Linked DNA regions of Oryctolagus cuniculus. The protein of the gene in region 2 interacts with the protein of the main gene of each other region in a biochemical or structural test. Links are inferred from orthologs where the notes say so. Each region holds a gene or a part of one and is shown on either strand. Other genes may lie near its edges. The genes, in order: KLHL6 and RC3H2.

Region 1 (3,913 bases), on a different chromosome or scaffold from region 2:
GATTGATAATGGTGGAACAGGGGCCGGCGCTGTGGCAATAGGCTAGGCCTCCGCCTGTGGCACGGGCATCCCATATGGGCGCCAGTTCATGTCCGGCTGCTCCTCTTCCAGTCCAGCTCCCTTCTATGACCTGAGAAAGCAGTAGAAGATGGCCCAAGTCCTTGGACCCCTGCACCAGCGTGGAAGACCGGGAAGAAGCTCCTGGGTCCTGGCTTCTGATCAGCTCAGCTCTGGCCGTTGGGGAGTAAACCAGCAGATGGAAAAACCTCTCTCTCTGTCTCTGTCTCTGTCTCTATCTCTGTCTCCCTCTCTCTAACTCTACCTCTCTAATAAATAAATAATGGTGGAATGAGTATAGCATTTTACCTTTGTCAACCATTTTTTGGTGATGCTTACACTTTAGCTTTTATGGAATGAAACCCCAAACTTAGTGGCAGTTTCTATTTTTTTACATTTTTCTACAGTTAAAACAAGGATTTCTAGAATGTTTTCTAACTCTGCTCCCAGATATATAATGTAGTGTTTCCATTTCCCCATCTGTTAAAGGGGTGTCAGCCACCTGCAATGCGCTGTGGCAAAAATAAAATCAGATAACTGTGTCTGTCCAGCATGTGGCAGGAACTACTTCCCTCAAACTCAGATATCCCCTCGCCTCGACAACACAGGAACCCACAACCCTCGCTGACCCAGTTATCTGAATTCCAGAGAAGTGAAAAAAGAAAACACCTTCCATGTCAAAGGAGTCCATTTCCTTGGCCAGAATTCTAGCCTTAAGAAGAATGATAAAGGGTATTGAGTGTTCACTTCTGCAAAACACTCGCTTCATCTGCATTACCCTGAGGACTGGTCCCCCTCGTGTCCACAGTGATCCAGCGAACCCAGATCCAGCCACATTCACCGGGTTCCTGATTCTCCCATGTTCCCACCCCAGGGATGTGCTAGTGGTAAACACTCAGTAAATGGATTTTTAGCAGAACTGAGCAGAATCAGGGGCAAAATTTCAACACAGATATATGGAGCATCTACGATGTGCCAGGAGCTATGTAAGACCCTTTTCACTCTCACATTTAATTATCACACAGACCTGGGAGGAAAGCATCACTGACCCCCTTTTAGGTGACAAAACAGAAAATTCAGTGCATTGTCAGGAAAGGGCAAAGTGAGACAGAAGCCCGGGCTCCTGCCTCCAGGTCTGCCCGTGTGAAACCGCCATTCTGTTGTAATGAGGGGCCTCTTGCATCTAAAGCACCTAAGGGCTCTTCCTGCCCCCCTCCCCAGCCCCTGCACACACACGGAGTCTCTGCTGTTCAGTGAGTCTCTTGATAATCCCAAAAGGGACCACATCCTTTTTCTCCACCTTTGTTGATCAGCACAGACAATACCATGTTTCCAGCACATTAGTCAGACCGAGGGGAGAAAAATCCCCATGACTTAAGTCATTTTCCATCCTTTGGAACAAGGACAGATACATAAAAGACTCGCCATAATATATAAACATTGCTTTTAAAGGATGGTAATCTCTTTCAAAGTGGCTTAAATCCTAAAATCCAAGATTCCATTATTTCCTTGCTTATACTGTAGCTAAGCAGACCTTAATAGATAATAAATGCAAGAAGCAACAAGTTAGATCAGGCTCTCACGTCCGCACAGACATTTCTCGCAACCTGCACCCAGTCTGACCCTGGTCCTAGGCATGCTGACCTGAAATAGTTGCTGGCAGCGGCAAGCACCACGCGGTGGCAGGAGAATTCCTGGATGTCCACACACAGGATGACATCCGTCAGAGCGTTTTCCACCCGGAGGGTCTCCAGGCCATTCTGAAGAATTAAGGAGAGTCCCGTGTCATCAAACTTAACCTTATCCCCATTTAAGACTTCCACCAAGTCTCCCCTCTTCTGAGAGGACTCATCCGCAGAAGGCGCCAAGGGCTCTTCTAAACTCTTCTCCACCGCGTTGTCGCTCATGGTCCAGGCGCCCGTTTGTCCTGCCATCAACACCAGACTGAAGGAGCACCCAAGCTTCAGGCAGGTCACAATGCAGAAGCTGGGCGGATTTCCTGTGCAGGGCCCTCCACTTATCACCAGCTGTCACACACACATAACAGGAAGTCTCGTACTTTCTCATCCTGTTACTACAAACGCCAGCAACTTCTATTCTTCTTCCTTCTGTGAATGATCCCGGGTTAGATATTACTTAGGGTGGGTGTGTGGGAGGGGCTCTGGGAGAGAAAGGGTGGCTTCTCAGAGTCTCCTGCCAACCCCGTGTGGTTATTTTGGTCCATCTCCCACCCCGTATCCGTGAACAGGAAGCCTCTGGTTCTGGTTAAGACATTTGTGCTCCTGGGGCTTCAACACACACATTGCTGAGGATGAGATGGGTGTGTAGCCTGCCGCAGTCCTCACTGCCTCCTTGCAGGAGTCTGAGAGCCCAAGATGAGCCCCTACCCTATCCCCTGGGAACCTTAGAAACCCCACCTCACCCCACCCCCTTGTCCCCAACTCATTTCTGTGGGCACTGCACAAATTCTATCTTCATCTTCCTCCCTGCTCAGGCGGAGGCAACACCAGAGCAAACATTAATGTTCCCCACCACCTCCTCTCCAAAAAATGTCTCCTGTTTCTTTCTTTTTTTTTTTTTTTTTTTTTTTTTTTTTTGACAGGCAGAGTGGACAGTGAGAGAGAGAGAGACAGAGAGAAAGGTCTTCCTTTGCCCTTGGTTCACCCTCCAATGGCCGCCGCGGAGGCGCGCTGCGGCCGGCGCACTGCGCTGATCCGATGGCAGGAGCCAGGTGCTTCTCCTGGTCTCCCATGGGGTGCAGGGCCCAAGGACCTGGGCCATCCTCCACTGCACTCTCTGGCCACAGCAGAGAGCTGGCCTGGAAGAGGGGCAACCGGGACAGAATCCGGCGCCCTGACCGGGACTAGAACCCGGTGTGCCGGCGCCGCAAGGCGGAGGATTAGCCTAGTGAGCCGCGGCGCCGGCGTCTCCTGTTTCTAATATCCTTCTGGGGCAGAGAAGAAATGGTTTCCTAAAACTCCACCCTCAGGGTGTCTTCTCCTGGAGACCAGTTAGGGTAGATCAACATCCAACTGCCCCAGCAAGTCTCAAATTGGCCTGATCTGCCACAGCACCTCCTGACCACGCATGGTGGATGGACATATACATATACATAGACAAGCTCCTTGGTGGATCATGACCTCTGCTGGCCTCAGCTAGTTAGCAATAACTGTCATTTATAAAAATCCCACTATGTCCTGGGAGTTAATGTATTTTGATCTTTATGGTGACCAAATGGCTATACTCATTTTATGGCTAAGAGAACTGAAGCTGTGCTCAAATGAGTGGCAGGGCCCTATTATGCTGGGCTGTGAAGCCCTTTGTGTTCCCCACTATCATCAGGTACCTGGTGGGAATATCACTACAGCCCCAATTCTTGTGTTTCTCACAGAAGGAAAGTGCAGGGGTTGCCTCCCATGGCTGGACCAGTCCCTCAGGCCTCACCAAGTAGCCTCCCCTGTCACATCTGCTCTCACTGGCCTCCTACCTGTTGGCAGTACCGCAGTCCTCCTGCTCAGAGAGTCCCAGATCTTTCCTCCGTTCCGGCTAGTGGTGATGGAGCCTTCCCCAGGAGTTTCGGTCTGTTCAGCTCTTCTCATCTTCCATGGATCTGTACTCCTAAAATCAGGGTCATTAATATTCCCCCCAAACTTGTTCTTTACTTAGATCTCTACCCATCAAGATGCTTTTTGGCTTCAATAACAGAATATCCCATCAGAAGCGGTTTGAACAATGGGAGTCTCATGTTATAAGAAACCAGAGATACGCAGTCCCAGGTCCCATTTAGTGTCTCAGTGATGTCATCAAGGACACAGAATTGCTCCATTTTCCACCTCTAAAGTCACAAAATAGCTAC
Region 2 (3,913 bases):
CAACATGTAACCAAAATAAAAATTGATATAAAAGTTGCTTTGTACTAAGTCTTCAAACTCTGGTGTATATTTTGCACTTACAGCATATCTGGATTCACACTAGCAACATTTCAAGTCTTCAACTGCCACACATGGCTATTTGCTAACATTGGACAGTGCAACAGTAGAGTACTTAAGAATATAAAGTAATGGGGTGAGAAGTGTCACTATGTTCTGAAAACTCTATGTATGAGATAAATGAACTTTGTTCCACTTATACAAATAAAAAATGTAATTAAGAATATAAAGTAATACACAATACAAATTCTTAAGAATTTTGAGGTAAAACACACTTAAGAAGGCTGTCAAATTAGAAGAACCTGGTCATAATCACAAAACTTACAATATTCATTGAAACTGGGTGCAAAATATAAATTTATTTTTAACGTTCAGATAGCTTTTTTTTGACTAAGTTTCCCTGTTCTATCACTAGAAAGTTAAACTCCAATCTATCTCAACCAACATGATAAGCAATTACTTATTTTGACCTTGTTGTTATTTAGCATTGTTAGCTGTTGCATATAATAGAGAAGTTCTGTTTTTGAATATAAAGTTCTGAATGTAAAGGCAAATGCACTGCCGAAAGAACTTCTGTTGACTAGTTTCAAACTACAAGACAGCAAATCAGAAAAGCAGAAAGTGAATTAATGAAAACATGAACAAAGGATGTCAGTCTTCCTGTCAGGTTAACACAATACCACATCAGAAGTGACTGAAAAGGATCCACTCGTGGACACCACTGCAGTGAAATTCTCACAGAATAAAAACTTGGTTGAACAATAACATTTGATCATCTAAACATGACTAATATATGCTTAACATTTTGTGCTTCTAGCCATTTTTCAAACTCCCAAATGTGGAAAACACTCATCTCATCTCCAAATCAACAAAAATGGAAACGTTGAAAAACAATCTTTAACAGGATGTAATGGCTCTGTTTCTTCAAGCAATGAATGTGGAAGTAAACAATATGAAGGCAGGGACCTGAGGTTAGCAGAGTGGTGTAGCTCTTCAACCAGATAAAAGAGGACAAGAGAATCCACACACCATTCTCAACGATTCAGAAAGTCTTAACTAAGTCTATACATTGAACCATAATATGCACCATCTAAGTAAAACATGCTTTCTTTTGTTTTCCGGTAAAATTCTATCGCTTTGGTGTAGCAACATTAGCTTTCTCCACCTGATCAAAAAGTTCTTATTGGAACTTTGACCACCACCACCTCCGCCCCCCCCCCCCCCAAAAAAACAAAACTGAAAAAGATTGCTTAGATTGCTTAAGCACTTCACTGGGAACACAAAATCATTCTCATCCCAGGGGGTGGCGGAGAGCAGCAGAAATTAAAAACAAGGGAACTGATGAGGATGACGAGTAGGAATCAGGGAAGAAGGGGAGCCAGGTAGTTATGGAAATACAACACGGGCTGGGAACCACTGGGTTCGCTGCACTTTGTCAGTGAGGACGGGAGACTATTGTGGTGTGCAGGTCGCATCCGCCGGGGCCTGACCCCCTTCCCCTGGGATCCGAAGGGTGGAAATGACAGCTCCTTCCTTCCTGGGCGCTCAGCGCAGGGAAAAGTAGAGCTGGTAGCCTGAGAAACAAAGATGCTTTCTACCATTCTTCTAAGATGGTGGAAGAAGCTCCTCAAGAGGCTTCCCCAAGAAGGAGAAGGCAAAGAGGGAGAGCAGAAAGCCAGGGCAGGGCCGCCTGGCTGTGTTCGTGCCACTGCTCCAGTCACATCCCCCGAGCGAGCAGCCGCTCCGGGCCGGCCGTCTCCCCCGGGGACGGGGCGCCGCTCTCCCGGGGCATTGTCTGGCCGGGGTCCCTAGCTGCCACTCCGATCGCCTCCACCATCCCTGCGGCCAGGGTCTCTAGCAGCCCCGGGGCGGAAAGCCCGAAAGCTAAGAGAAGACTTCGTTCCGAGGACCAAAGCCTCTCTCCCCGGCCGGTGCAGAGCGCGGAGAGGGAAGCCTGGCCTTGGCTCGGGTGGGTTCCGCGGGGGTCAGAGGCGGCCCCTCGGCCAGTGTCGAAGGAAGGTGGCCATTGGAGCCAGTCGCTCCGCATCGAAAACAGCCCTACCCGACAGAGGGGCCTCCCTAGGCCGCGGGTTCCGTCCGAGTGTCAGGTGCGGCCCTCAGGTCCCCAGCCCTCGGGGCGCCGGCGGCGACAGCGCACAGGCCTCCCGGCAGGGACGAGGCTCCCGGCCCGGCAGCGGGGAACCGGGCACCCGGTCCGGGGCCCGAGCCGCATCGTGCCCGCCCCGCCCTACCTGAGGGGGCCCGGGCGGGGTCGCTAAGGGCCGCTCCCGGGAGCCCCGCGACGGCGCGGCTCGGCGACGGAGGCGCCTCGTCTCGCCGGGGCAGAGCTCGGCGGCGGTTTCACGGCCTCAAACTCCATCGGGAGCTACAGGGACAGCCCCGTTGGCGGCGGCGAAGGCCGCGACGGGGCCTCCTCCTCCTCCTCCCTCCGCCTCCTCCTTTTTCTCCTCCTCCTCCTCACCACGGAGGCGGACCTGGAGGGATCCCGACCCAGATCTCGCGAGAAGATACTCCCAAGATCACGCGAGATTACGCAAGCCCGGGAGTTGGGGAGGTGGAAGGAAAACGTAGTAATCCCCGCCACCTAAACTGCGCATCGTTTGTCTCCGGTCGGGCGGATCCGCCTCCATCACGTGAGGAGGGAGCCGTGGAGCATTGTGGGAGGCGCTGTGAGGAGGACTAGGCAAACCGAAAGGGTTGATGGGAAACTCCCTGCACGTTCATCTGCACCTCGAGCGAGTGTCTGCGCCCATCGTGCAAAGAGGCGCTGTTAGGAAGAGTCAGATGTATCTGTTGCGATCTACTTCCCTCTGCCTTCATGAAATGTTGGCGAGATCCCACAGGCCCTCTACACAGATGTCAAGTAATCTCCCAAGGGCAAAATCCTAAGTAAAACAGAACAAGCGTCTGCTCCGGAGGCCCTTCCACATCCCTGTCTCTTTATTGAAGGGAAACTTCTAATCTCAACAGCTAACAAAGATAAACATTTAACCACAAATTCTATCCATGTATCTAAATATTTGTTGAGGGATTTTTCACAGCATACTAGCAGGCAGGAATCACACCGTCGCCACAGATGAAGAATCAGCCTGGGAGTAGGGATGAAGGGAGTAGGGATGAAGCCACTTGGTATATGTTTTATTTTAATATTCTATTTCATTTAGTTCTCAAAATAACCCAAAGGGCAGATTGTGTGTGTCCTTTGTTACTGATAAGAAACTCAACCGCACAGGTTAACGACCATGACTTCTAATAAAACTCAAAACCTTCCGATGTGAAATCAGAAATCCACCACGAATTAAAAGTTGTAAAAATAACTTATGAACTATAATAAACTTTTAAAATGAGGTTATTACTGCCTGCATGGCAAGCAAAGATGTAGTTTTGGAGATTCAGGCTTTTCTTACGCATTGCTATCTTTTTCATTCTCTTCTGTGAACTATATGCAAATCTAAGAGAAACATCATCCCACTGTCCAATCAACTGAGACAAGCACATATTATAGACTCGGTATTTCTTAAAATCAATGATTAAAATAATAGCGGGGGGGAGGGGCGGCCAGCGTTGTGGCATAGCAGGTAAAGATGCCACCAACAATACCAGTATCCAATATGGGTGCCTATTCTAGTCCTGTGTGCTCCACTTCCTACCCAGCTCCCTATTAATGACCTGGGAAAAGCAATGGAAAATGGCCCAAGTGTTGGCGCCCCTGCCACCAATATGGGAGACCCAGGTGAAGCTCTTGACTTCTGCCTGGCCCAGTCCTGGCAGTTGTAGCCATCTGGGCAGTGAACCAGCAGGCAGATGGAAAATCTTTCTCTCCCTCTAATTCTGT

What was found.
Region 1: the proteins of RC3H2 (region 2) and KLHL6 form a complex in vitro, tested with the Homo sapiens proteins (2 studies listed by BioGRID, with this or other methods). The link is inferred for Oryctolagus cuniculus from reciprocal best matches to the Homo sapiens genes RC3H2 and KLHL6.

Annotation. Positions count from the first base shown.
Region 1 is NC_091435.1:93,144,072-93,147,984, forward strand, and holds the start of KLHL6 (kelch-like protein 6), read right to left. Parts: upstream 2,199-3,913; 5' UTR 1,992-2,198; coding exon 1,702-1,991; intron 1-1,701. UniProt on the Homo sapiens protein: Involved in B-lymphocyte antigen receptor signaling and germinal center formation.
Region 2 is NC_091432.1:226,889,678-226,893,590, forward strand, and holds the start of RC3H2 (roquin-2), read right to left. Parts: upstream 2,708-3,913; 5' UTR 2,310-2,707; intron 2,145-2,309; exon of another isoform or gene 2,120-2,144; intron 1-2,119. UniProt on the Homo sapiens protein: Post-transcriptional repressor of mRNAs containing a conserved stem loop motif, called constitutive decay element (CDE), which is often located in the 3'-UTR, as in HMGXB3, ICOS, IER3, NFKBID, NFKBIZ, PPP1R10, TNF and in many more mRNAs.